Cricetulus griseus: one gene and its partner. The protein of the gene in region 1 purifies or fractionates together with the protein of each later gene. This does not show direct contact. Links are inferred from orthologs where the notes say so. Each region holds a gene or a part of one and is shown on either strand. Other genes may lie near its edges. The genes, in order: Casp3 and Cryab.

Region 1 (6,632 bases):
TCTCTTCACAGCAAGCAGGAAAGATCCTTTTCTACTAACCCGGGAAGAGTTGTTTATACTGTTGCTTTTCTCAACCCAGGGCAACCATTGGTTCCTTTAAAGTACAATTTCAAAAAGTTAAAACTTGGCTGCTCAAACAGAAAAACAACCCATGTCAAGAATTTTATTCACCTGCTAGCTAATGAATGGAACCAATTAGATGTTAAGTCCAGTTCAAAGGAGAATTGGAAGAACAAGCAAATGCAAACAAAGAGCTGAATGTGTGAGCAGTTTGCTGGCAGTTATGAAAATGGTTATGTCCTATAAGGCAATAACTATAATTTAGAAGGATAGAAAAGAATCTTGATGTAGCTGCTACTTTTTATGGCTACAAAGTTGGAAACCAGCGTGTCTAGTAGTGAGTTATGTAAAAGACTATGCCCTGGGGAATTCAATAATCCCTCTGGGTAACACCCAACATCCCATCAAAATAGTATCTAGTCACTCTTTTGGCTTGGGTCATTTGTCCTAACAGTCACTACTGTAGCCATGACATGTTTCATAAAGCCGGTGTGGCCTACTGCCCTCATTAAAATAGGTCTTCTGGCAAGGGTGGAAAAGGTGAGTGTCCCTAAAAGTCTTCTGCCAGTGTCGGCACACCACATCCACCCAATTCGCTTTGCAAACTCTCAGTTCTTCTGCTGGCTTCACTTCCTCTAATCAACTTCTAAATCACAGGATGCCCACACTTAACTGTCTGTATCCATCAGCTGTTCGGCTCCAACTGAGGCCTCTATCATCTCCCTGAGCTACTCCAGAAGGCTTCTCACCAGCCATGTGTTTTAGCAGCCAGAGTGTGCAGTCCCTCTTTGGCTTTAAATGTCCCAATGTTCTCTCCATGTTATTGGTCCGAAGACCTTATGTGATCTTACCTTTCCTGGCTATCTATCTTCCTGCCCCAGCACTAGTCAAACTGGTCTTTGTGTACCTTGAGTAGAGCAAGTTGTTCCCAGGCCTTTGATCTAACTGATGTTTACCCCCACCCCCACCCCCACCCCACCCCCACCCCAGGGCAGGGGCAGCCTCCCTCTGTGTCATTCAGATCTCTGTAATGCCACCTCAGAGATAACAACTCCCTGACCACCCCCCCATTCCCAGTTTCTCACCCCTTTCTCATTTTCCTCATAGCCCTGACAGTATTAGAACCCTATTTTCCATCTCTAATTCTTTCTTTGTGGAATTCAAGTTTCTTGAAGATAGACTTGTGGTGCAAAGTGTGTGCTCTCTAAACATTTGCTTGCTGACTAAAAGCATGGTACATCCCAGTTGTCTCATATCCTGTGGTTTTCTAGAAAACCCACCAGAATAAAAATTGTAGAAAGCAAAGAGCCTTTATAGGAACACAAAGCACTGACTGACTTAGGAAGGCAGATGGAGCACTGCTCTCTACTGTGGTTAAACTGAAGGGTGTCACTTCCTCCTCTCTGTGTTCTTTCTTCACTGTTCCCAAAGGCACACCACACGGGGGAAGAGTAGGAACTTAGCTTTGGAGCCTTCTGTGACGCCGTCATAGTCGTTCTGATTTTAGCATACGACTGAGGTTAAAAGTTGTATTTTGATTGAAATATTAGACGTAACCAGGGATTCTAGAGTCTGAAGATTCACTCGGGATTTTCAGTACTTCTTTCATGTTTCATTTCTGTTTGTATGTCTTCTTTATTTGGGGAGGTATACAACCAGGGCAGTGTCTTTCCTTCTAGAGAACTCTAGAAGACAGGAAGGAACAGATGTGGAGAGGTGCACATGTCTGGTATTTGGAGACAAAGTCACTTAGAATTAGAAGTCAAGTTTCTGAGTAGGATACTGTGGAGGTTTGGAAGTTCCTGGGGCTCTCACCATTGTGGTGTAGTATTATGTGAGCTTTACTTCGTGGTTAGTGTTTGGGTTTTGTTTTAGTTATGTTGAGTTGGAAGCTGAGTTCCAGTAAATAACTAGATTGGTCGGGTGACCAAGGAAAGAAGGTGTTACCTGTTTTGATTGGCAGGGGCATACAAATGGGGGAAAGAGACTGAGCTGCTTTACACTCTGTTCTTGATATAATTCATAGCTAGAAGATCAAGGAAGGAGAAGGATGGTGCTATTGCAAAGGACCATTCTCTAGACATCTGACTCATGGGACCAATAGCGATGGAAACAATGAATATGGCATTGCTAATATATTGCAGTGGTTCTATAATGGGTAACATCTCTCTTTTTTTTTCCTTCTATATTCTAGTTAAGAAAAGTGACCATGGAGAACAATGAAACCTCAGTAGATTCCAAATCCATTAAAAATTTTGAAGTGTGAGTATTTATTTATTTTTATTTGTTGTAGTTTAAGGCAGACTCTCCACATACCCTAGGCTAACCTGGACCTGTATAATCCAGGCTAGCTTTAAACTTGTGATGGCTCTCTGACCTTTGTTTTCTAATGCTAGCATAGCAAGCCATAGTCACTGTGCCTGGTGATAATGGTATAAGTGGAATTCTATATATATAGTCAAAGGAAGACATGTTTGTGGAATGCATCCCATTTGAGAAATAGAGAAGCAGAGGGAAAGGGGATTTCAAACTAGAGAGCAAACTGCCTCCCACCTCCAGCAGCTGTGCAGCTCTGGGTAAACTCATTCCTCTGATCTCATCTTAACTAAGATGACAGGGAAAGACTGGAGGGAAGGAGATTGCTCAGGTACTATGCTAAGTGCTCTTGAATTCCTGGCTTTGGGATTCTCCACTCTTTCTGAAGGTACGTCATATCCTTTCTTGGTCTACTTGTCACATGCTGGCAGATAACGGGGTGAACAGAAAGTAGTGAAGAATCAGCATTAGGTAATGGGAATTATAGTTCTGTGGTCGATTATAAGATTTGCATCCCTTATGCAAAATGACTAAAACCAGAAGTATTTTAGATTTCGGACTCTCAGGTTGGAACATATGCACACACACACACACACACACACACACACAATGCATTAGAGATGGGACCTAAGTGTGTGTGTGTGTGTGTGTGTACAGGTGTGAGTAGACTACAGTGCACATGGAGGTCAGAGGCCAACATTTCCTTGTTTCTGCTGCCAAGTGTCCTAGGCTAGCAGTCAGGCTTCCACCTATTCTCCTGTCTCCACCTCCCATCTTGCCTCAGGAATGCTATGAACACACACATGTGTGCCACCACTTAGAGCAACCTTCCTAACACTGTGACCCATTAATACAGGAACTCCTCATGTTGTAGTGACCCCCAACCATAAGGTTATTTTTGTTGCTGCTTCATAACTGTAATTTTGCTACTATTATGAATCATAATATAAATAGCTGATAAGCAGGATATCTGATATGCAACCCCTGTGAAAGGTTCATTCAACACCCACCTCCCAAAAGAGTTTTGACCCACAGGTTGAGAATCACTGACTTAAAGCTTTTTAATGTAGTTTCCAGTGATTGAACTCAGGCTGTTAGGATTGCATAGAAAGCGCTATTACCTACCGAGTATACCCTGGCCTATAAATTTTAAACACTGTGAATTCACTTTTGTTTCATAAAAACTTTATACATGTATCCCAAAGCTAATTTTATAAAATATTTTTAGTGGACCTATGTTTTGAAAGTGACCTGTCTCATGGGGCTTGGTGTGACTTTTTCCACTTGTGGCATTATATTGATATAAATTTTGGAGCATTTCTGATTCTAGATTTTCGAACAGGAATGCACAGCCTGACTATATGACCTAATTAACTCTGTAAAATGTGGGGCCTTACCTCCAGCTATATATCATGGTTCTTTTTTGTCTGACTTTGATCCCCTTCATTTACTACTTTTAATCTTTCTACATTATTTTTAGAATTATATAAAATATAAGATGCTATTAAGGCTGAGTATGCATCCTTAACTTTTTTGCTTGGCTGTTCTTAGACTCGGCCTCAAAAATAAAATCTTAGGAAAAAAAAAGGCCGTACTTGCTGGTGGTGGTGACATACGCTTTTAATCCCAGTACTCAAGAGGCAGGGGCAGGCAGATCTCTGAATTTGAGACTAACCTGGTCTATAAAGTGAGTTCTGGGACAGCCAGGGTTACACAGAGAAACCTTTTCTCGAAAAACAAACAAACAAACAAACAAACAAACAAAAAAAGGTACTTTTATCATGGATAAATTAATTCATACATTGTTAATTTTTTTAAAGATGTATTTCGTAAAATGCTATTGGACTTTACAGGAAAACCTTCCAATAAGAGCTGAACACACTTCAGCACATTTTACTTCCTTGGCCTTGGCAGGTCATTTCCTCATCTTTGAAATGGGTTGTGGTTGTTGTGGATGTATTTATTTATGCTTTTTTTCCCTCTAGCACTTGGGATCAAACCCACATGTGAAATTTGAATGAGGGAAGGATTTAACACGAAGTTGGGTACATTGATAGTCTCAAACAAATGTTAACCATTCTTATGAGTAATAAAAGTTGTATTAATGGAGTCCTTTCTGCCTTTGGTAACTAACCGTCACTTGATTTCCATGCAGAAAGACCATACATGGAAGCAAATCAATGGACTCTGGAATGTATCTGGACAATAGTTACAAAATGGATTATCCTGAAATGGGTGTGTGTATAATAATTAATAATAAGAACTTTCATAAAAGCACTGGTATGTATCTAACATAATTTTTAAAACATTTCAAATATTTATGCCATTTACATTGGATACAATGTGAAAAGCAATTATCAGTGTGTTATGAGTCAGTAAACTGATATAGACAAACCACAGAGTAGAGCTACACTGGAACTTACAGGTCCCATATACAATAGGAACTCTTTTTCCATATTCAGAATCTTTGCCTCTCCTGACTTTGAAGGGTTGGATTCTCTGCTGCCCAACAGAGCCAATCTCTTGAGAGGCTGAGTGATGGGAGAAGAAAAGGTTGCATAAGCAACAAGCTGGCAGGGAGAAGATAAGTGACTGGCACCTGAGGTCTGCTGCCCTGGGGCAGCTGAGAAAGTGTCTCTAGCATCCTTTACAGGAGCCCTTAACTCACAGCCTCAGGCAGGTGGGCCCTACAGTCATTCCTTAGTCAGTATCAGAATACAAATCAGGGCCTCAGCCGGGTGTTGATGGCACACGCCTTTAATCTCAGCACTCGGGAGGCAGAGGCAGGCGGATCTCTGTGAGTCCGAGGCCAGCCTGGTCTCCAGAGCGAGTGCCAGGATAGGCTCCAAAGCTACACGGAGAAACCCTGTCTCGAAAAGCCAAAAAAACAAAACAAAACAAATTAGGGCCTCTTATCTCAGACTTGAGGTTGCTGGATTATCCCTGCCCTGTGCCAGGTTTCTCATTTACAGGTCTGTGTGCCTGCCTTCAGGCACATTCTGCTTCTGTGTTTACAACCGTTATTTAATTGAGGCCTTTCCCCTGACCTGAGAATGAGTGCACAGTAAAAGGAATGGTGTTTTATACTAACTCACAAGTAGTCATTAAGTTATAACTCAGGGGTTGTGCCACAGATCCTCCACACTCCAATGGAAGGCTGCACGTAGGAAGATGACACAAAGTTGGGTGGGACGGGAAGGGTCATGGGCTTAGAAGGAGTTGGAGACCCAGGGATGAATATGACTAAAGTCCATTGTATGAAATTCTCAAAGAACTAATTGGAAAAAAAAAATGAGGAAAAAATAAAATTAAAGAAGAAAAGGAGAGGGAAAAGACCAGAAAATGGGGTCAGTAGAGTGATTCTATTCCCAGTACCACATAGCCCTGTATGATGGTACATTCCTGTAATCCTGTCACTGTCACTTGGAAGAAGGAAGTAGAAAGATGCCAGCCTGGGCTAATGGGACTTTGTCGCTGAACAAACAAAAACCAACAAAACCAAACCTTGCCACAACATCTTTACTTACAGCAGTTAGAGCCCAGTGCATGTGGCTGAGCTGTACTGATGATCTGTAGTCCTCATTGGTACCTCCTTGATGATCTGTAGTCCTCATTGGTACCTCCGTGATGATCTGTAGTCTTCACTGGTACCTCTTTGATGATCTGTAGTCCTCATTGGTACCTCCGTGATGATCTGTAGTCCTCATTGGTACCTCCTTGATGCCAATAAGACGTTCTCCTCCCCTTCTTCCCTCAGTCCTCTCCTTGCACCATGTGGGTACCAGGGATCAAATTTAAGTTATCAGGCCTGGCAGCAAATGTCACGAGCTGGCTCAAAGGTCCTCAACTTTATCACTCTGAACCAATTTGTTTCCTTCCTTTTAAAGCCAAGCATCTCTCATGCTAAGCATGCTGTGTACCAAGGGCAGGTTTCTTAGCTCATTTGTGCTCTGCATCCATCATGTGTACAAATGAAGCTAGTGATATGCATCTTGTGGGTACAGTAATGTCACCCACATAGCAGAAAACCTGATTAGCAATATTAATCTGATAATATTTGTGGATTTTTCCCCAAAAACATGTGCAAGTAGTACTGTCTTAAAATTGATTCGACATAGAATCAAATTTAGTGTCTGTGAGTAAGCTATATAAACAAAACTAAGATCACATACTTTTTTCTGTCTAAAATTATTTACTGGATATTATCATGTCAGAAAAAATGAATTTTTTTTTTAAAAATCAGTGATTATTTCCCC
Region 2 (6,751 bases), on another chromosome or scaffold:
CAATGTTAATATAACAACCAATACTAAGTATCTTGAACCAGGTGTTGAGGGACATGCCAGCAACTCCAGCACTGGGGAAATGGAGGTAGAATGAATAGGAATTCAGTAATCCTTTGCTACATATGGAGTTCAGGGACAGCCTGTGTTAGAAACAACATGCCTGGGATGTGGGTCAGTGAAGTGCTTGCTATGTAAGCCTGAAGATGCAATGTCCAGCACCTACTTAAAAAGCCAGGCATAGCAGCACCCAGCTGCAATCCTGGCACTGGGGAAGCCGAGACAGGCAGATTTCCAGAGCTCGCTGGCCAGACAGCCTAGTGGAATCAGTGAGCTCCAGGTTTTGTGAGAGACCCTGTCTCAAAAAGTAAGGGGAGAGTAACTGAAGAAGCCATGACATCAACTCCAGGGCTGTGCACACATAACACACACCACACACACAACAAACACACACACATAACACACACACACACACACACACACACACACACACACACACTATAGCTTTGAAACAAATGCAGAATAGCCAAGGTGGGTTACCAATGTCAGTAGCTAAAATAATAATTCAGTGAAAATCAACCATGTCAATACAAGAGATTGCTTTAGCATCACTGACATGAATCAATTCTGTGACTTCTTTGCCAGGCATGCTGAGGCCAGGACTCTAGGTGGGCAATGTGATTGAAGGAGATTCGGTCACACACAGTTATATTTAGTGACATATGGATTGAAGAGGGACCAGCAATAAATAGAGGGAAGCCTTGATTCAAAGGGCAGGGTTTCTCTCTGCTGCTGGATTTCTCTATAATTAACCAATTAAGGCCATCTCCCTGTCTCCTGTGGGAGTTTTCTCTGCCAGGGAGAATGAGGTTGCAGCCCTAACCACACAGACCTATAATAAACCATCTGGGTGATGAAGGATAGCTTCAGATATACTTAGATTATTCCCAAGAGGTGGCTGAATACATGTGTGGTATTCTTAGTCTCAGTAGAAATAATTTCTCAGAGGAACTAAGTGTATTCTGACACTGTCTTTTAAGTCCCCAGTTAGTCTTATCACATGACTCTAGCAAAAGAGATTGAATGTTACTGGGCCTATTAAGCAACCTTGAGCCTGGAATAGATCAAACAAGGCTCCCACCAACCATACCAATTGCTTCACTTGTCCTGTTATTCAGTAACATGATTGTGTGATAGTATGGGGGTGGGGTGGGAAGAAGAAAATGTATTATATGAGAATTTATGTTAACTAAGGAATCATTCAAATTTAACATTAATATTTATATTATTTAGAGGTATAAAACCACAGTGCTATTTTGTTTTTCAGAGTTCAAATCTACTAAGGACTCTACTACTAAGGAGAACATGAGTCTGCAGAGAGAGCAGTTTATGGGAAGAGTAGACAATTCAAATACCACAGGAGCATATTACTGAATGGCTCTTAACAGAAGAATTGATTGCAAAGTTGTCTGACTGTTGCTTTTAGAAATATTCTATTACCAGCACAGGAAGAAATATCTTTTACTCCCCCTTCCCCTTGTTTTGGAAGAACTGTGCTGTTATGCAATATTTATGTAGAGTCATGGAAATGATAGCCAGGCCACTTCATTTTCACATGGGTCTTCAGATGAAGATTTAGAAATGAAAGACCAGCAGAAAGCAAAGACTAGGACTTGGCCCTGTGCCCGTCACCTTCTAATCAGAAGGTGGGTCCTGACACCAAAGAGCCGGGTTAAAACAGAGAAGGGGGAAGGGCATTGGAGGACCAAGGGACTTTTGCCACAACTGATGAATGGGTAGGATTTACACAGCTAAGGACCAGAGAAGGCCCTGGAGCAGAGAGTGAGAAGAGATGAATGGGAGTACTGGAGGCACTTAAAGAGGTGTGTTTCCTGACTCTTCTGTGTTTCACCTCTGGGTCTGTAGCTCTTTGTTAACGATTCCCTTACATGTGTTCAGTGAGAAGTGATGCGAAGATGAGGAGGCCAGCCATGCAGGCAGGATACAAGCTCTGCCCTTTGATGAAGGTTGTAACACCCCTCAGCCAAAGGAAAATTCCAGCACAGTTGGTCACACTGGCAGAACATTTCCGTTGGATTTTTTTTCTCTGTCTGTGTCAGGAACAAGGCTGGGGCACAGGGTGGGAGGAGGGCAGAACTGGGGTAGGTTCTAAGGCAGGTCACAACTCAGGGCTTCTTAATTAGAAACAGCGATCAAGGAGGGAGCCTGTCGTGCAGCTGGAGACAAAAAAAAAATCCTACATGGAAATTCATGAGAATGGTTGGTTGCCTCTAGGGGAAAGGTTGGGAAGGGGGTGGAAGCAGGGAATGGCACAAAAGACTCTTCCATCTTGCCTGTAACGTTAATATTTAAGAAGAATATCAGGTTAGGGTGTAGCTCAGTGGTCTAGCCCCTAGTCATATGCAAGGCCCTAGGTTCAGTCACCAGTGCTGGGGGTGGAGGGTTATATTTTCATATGTTATCTGACTAAAAACTGATTTTAAAAGCACAAGTTGCTGCCTTAAAGGGTAGAGGAGTAGGGCAGTGGTAGAACACTTTCATAGCATGCCCAACCCCCTCCCCCAAGAGATCTTAAATTTAAAAATTCGATGGAGAAGGGAGAGGTGCACAGAGGGAAAAGTGGGCAGGAAGCCATGACCAATAGCCTAAGCCTTCCTGGCTGCTGGGCTAAGGCAACCAAAAGGATGAGTGAGGAGGAGTGGGGGCAAATGGAATGGCAATGGTCTCAAACAAGAATCGACTGGATCACAAAAGAAGCAAAAGGAAGAAAGAGGTAACAGAATTCTGAGAGAAACTTGTGAGGAGAAAATGAGCCTGAGTCAAGCCTAGCTCACCTTTCCTGTTAGATTGAGGATCCCCCACAGCAGTTCTCACAGAGGGGAGCAAATATTGGCTCCTGAAACTGGGCCTGTGACCCAGGTTGCTCCTCTCAAACAACCTTGTCCTGGGTGGTGGAGGACATAACGGCGCAGGACTCAGGGAATTCACACGTGGAAAGGACCACCCGCAGTCTCCTGCCCTCTCAAACTTTCTACCAATGCCACACCACCACACCCCTCCCGTGACTCATCCGGTTAGCTCCTGAAATAGAAAGAGCTAGCTGCCTCCTGTTCAGGGCTTCCCTCAAGGATGTCCCTGGAGAGTCCCCAAGAGGCGTGGGGACCACCTTTCCTGCAAGGAGATGCCTTCTTAAGTCTGTGGTCCTCACTGTCCTCGGCACTCAGGAAGGTAATCGTTCAGCTTAGAGAGAGGCCCACCGCCCTTCTGATGCCCTCAGGTTCCTGCATCTATCTGCACCGCACCCACCACCTTGGCTCTGTACCCAGGCTCTTCAACTCTGACGTATGATGTGTTCTGGGCTCCCCCAGAGGATGCCCCCCGCCCCAGGATTCCCTTCCGGAGATTAGGCGGGAGGCGTGGGGTGACGGGGAGCTGGGGGTGGGAGGAGCAGGGCAGTTACCTCATTGAAGCCCTCCTGCAGGACGTCCAGTAAGTTCCCGCGGGTCAGGCAGGCTAGCATTGTTCCTGCCGTGGGGCTCCCCGGGTGGGGTCGAGCCGCCTCCTCCTCCTCCCTCTGCACACAAAGGCAATCGGCTCAGCTCCCTGGGATCTCTCCTGAGTCCCGCATGCCACTTACTGGAAACCTAGAGCCGAGCCAAACTAGCGGCTTGCACTGGGCATGCTCGCGCGCAGGCCGCAGCCGGAGGGGCCCTGGCGCCGTGTTGGTTCCTATAGAAACAGTCAGGCGCGCACGGCAGGCACCGAGAGGCAAGCGGCCAGCCCCGGGCAGCCCGTGAGTGCGGGGGAATCCGAGGGCGCGCGCACACGCTCCGGACTGGTGCGCGCGCACGCGCGCGCGCGGAGAGCACTCACACACGCGTACACACCTACACACCCATGCTGACACAAGTGGGCTTGCCAGCACGAGCATATGCTTACAATCACTACACTGCAGGTTTGGAGACGGGCATCCCCGCGCGTGCGCACGCACACGCAGGCGAACACACACACACACACACACACACACACACACACACACACACACACACATTCACTCTGCTCTCTTAAGGCTGCTAGCACCTCACCACACACACACACACACACACACACACACACACACACACACACACACACACACACACACACACACACACACACACATTCACTCTGCTCTCTTAAGGCTGCTAGCACCTCACCACAAGGTGGATGGGAAAAGGAGTGAGTCACAGGATTCCCCCACCCCATTCTTCAGCAACCTTTTTCCACATGTGAGGCAACCTAACAGAGGAAGTAGAAGGGCAAGAAAAAAAAAAAGAGGAGGAATCAGGAGAGAGCGGCTGGGGTGGTGGTGGTGGTTGTTGGGGATGTAAGTAATTGAACAGTGCTAAACAAATCATAACATCACAACAAAAACATCAAAGATGATTCAGGATGGCCATGGTTTTACCACATGTATCTCTTCTCTCTTTTCAAAATAATTGCTGTAAGGGGAAAGGTGGGCAAGGTGGCTCAGGGGATAAAGGCTCTTGCAGAAGCTTGGCACCTGAGATCAATCCAGGAACCATGTTAAAGGTGGAAAGGGAGAGCTCACTCTTCTCTGGTACATGCACCCATATACACATCATGCTGTCTCACACATTAATAATTAATTCTAAAAATAAAATAACTGCGTGGTGGTGTACACCTGTGATCCTTTACTGGGAGCTCGAAGCAGGGAATCGGAAGTCATCCTTGGCTGCATAGCCAGTTTCTGGTCAGCCTAAGCTATGTGTGATCCTTTCAATAACATATATATATATATATATATATATATATATATATATATATATATTTCAGGCCTGGCACTCTAGAAGCAGAGACAGGAAGGTCTCTATGAGTCCAAGGCCAGCCTGGTCTACATAGCAAGTTCCAGGCCAGCCACAGATATATAGTGAGATTTGGACTCAAAAAAAGAAAGGCAAACCTTATTTTAAGGGGTTTTTATAAGTGTTTTTAATTGAAAGAAAGCACCCAAAATGCCCTGGTACATTGACAGGAAGTGTAACAGGACTTCTCCCTTCTGCGACCTGGCTGAGGTCACCAACTCAATTGTTTATTTTTAAGAACACTAACCATTTGCATGTTCAGAGAAAACTGATCTTTGAAAAAAAAAAGAAAGAAAATCAAAAGTATGTCCACATCCCCTCCCATCTTGTGGTCCTAGGTAGAAAGGAAGAATTTACACAGTGCTAAGACCCAGAGAAGTCAGAGCCTTGTCCAAGGACACAGCTGCTCAGGGACTCGCAACTCAATAATCAAGGAATTACAAACCACTTTATAGCCATCCTGGGTGCACCCCCCTCCCCGCCCCCAAACCCCATTAGGACAGCACGAAGAAAAGTCACTAATGAGCTTATTGAGTCTTAGCTAACCTAATAACCTCCTCTTCCAGGCACTGGAGAAAAGGAAAAACCTTACTTGGGGCAGCCTGACTGGATATCTAAAGCTGCTGAAAACCAAAGCCTCCTGGAGAAATGATGGGCCTCTGACCACAACAAGCAGGAAGCAGAGAGTCAACGTGCATTGAGCCAGTTGCTCTGCTGGTTGAATCCCGTGGGTTCCACTCTGGCTGAAGCTGGGAAACAGCTGTAACACCCAGTCAAACTAACTCTGAGCAGCTGGGGTAAGTCAGAAGACCTCTCCGTCCTTCACCATTTAGCTGGGGAGTGTCACTGCCAAGATTCCTCGCTGTTCCTTCAGTCCGTGGCAGACTCATAAACCAGTGCTTGAGGCAATGGAGCCCTTTATAAACAGAAGCACAAAACTTGCAGGTGCAAAGAACTGCATGGCACATGCACATATGCAATGATGCACAACCAAAATGTTCAGTTGATGACTTAGTGAAGCATCAGACAGCAGCCTGCAGACCGTCATCTATGCCAGGAGATCACTGCTTCTCAAAAATCGGTCTGTGATGAGAGCAATACATGTGAACGCAATGCTTTGGAGGGAAGACTCACTAAGCAACCGATTTATCATTTTAAGTCTTTTGAGGCAGGGCCTCAGGTAACCCTGGCTGGACTCCAACTTCCTAGTTAGCCAAAGATGATCATGAACTCCTAATTCTACTGTTTCTACCTCCCAAATGCTTGTATTACAGGTATGTGCTACCACACCTAGCTATAACTGACTTTAAAAAAAAATGTGTCTGTTTATCTGTATGAGAATGTGCCATGTGTGTGAAGGTCTCCATGGAGATCAGACACCAGAAGAGGCTGCTGAGTACCCTAGAGCTATAGTAAGAGGATGTCGTGAGCAACCCGATGTGGGTGCTGGGAACCAAACTCAGGTCCTCTGGAAAAACAGTGAGGGTTCTTAACCACTGTATCATCTCTCCAGTCCTTGTACTAGATTTTAAATCTCCAAAATAACGATTTCATTTGGCCCAACTATTTATTTCATATAAGAAAGAACCCACACCAGGAGAGGTGCTGACAGTCTCTTGATAAATCAGTACAGGGACTGAGATCTAAACAAGGGCCTTTGAGGTCTGGGTTTGTGCCTTGTGCAGTAGTCCTTCATGGCATGCTGGAGAAATGAAGATACAATCATGGTGACTAATTCTAAGGCATATGGCAAAAAAAATTGTACAATTGCAAAAAACCTAGAGAAGTAGTGTCTATTAGAACTTTGTAAGATGGAAATATTCTATATTCCATATATTGTTCCAAAACAGCAACGACTAGCCACATGT

What was found.
Region 2: the proteins of Casp3 (region 1) and Cryab purify together in Homo sapiens (affinity purification with western blotting; 3 studies listed by BioGRID). This does not show direct contact. The link is inferred for Cricetulus griseus from reciprocal best matches to the Homo sapiens genes CASP3 and CRYAB.

What each region holds. Positions count from the first base shown.
Region 1 is NW_023276807.1:40,014,961-40,021,592, reverse strand, and holds the start of Casp3 (caspase-3), read left to right. Parts: upstream 1-2,269; coding exon 2,270-2,322; intron 2,323-4,531; coding exon 4,532-4,656; intron 4,657-6,632. UniProt on the Homo sapiens protein: Thiol protease that acts as a major effector caspase involved in the execution phase of apoptosis. Following cleavage and activation by initiator caspases (CASP8, CASP9 and/or CASP10), mediates execution of apoptosis by catalyzing cleavage of many proteins.
Region 2 is NC_048597.1:162,498,441-162,505,191, forward strand, and holds the start of Cryab (alpha-crystallin B chain), read left to right. Parts: upstream 1-2,189; 5' UTR 2,190-2,277; intron 2,278-2,317; exon of another isoform or gene 2,318-2,791; intron 2,792-2,852; exon of another isoform or gene 2,853-2,989; intron 2,990-3,088; exon of another isoform or gene 3,089-3,360; intron 3,361-3,420; exon of another isoform or gene 3,421-3,478; coding exon of another isoform or gene 3,479-3,538; exon of another isoform or gene 3,539-3,615; intron 3,616-3,687; exon of another isoform or gene 3,688-3,811; intron 3,812-5,449; 5' UTR 5,450-5,680; exon of another isoform or gene 5,681-6,157; intron 6,158-6,751. Other genes in the region: Dixdc1 (dixin), read right to left, coding at 3,479-3,483. UniProt on the Homo sapiens protein: May contribute to the transparency and refractive index of the lens. Has chaperone-like activity, preventing aggregation of various proteins under a wide range of stress conditions.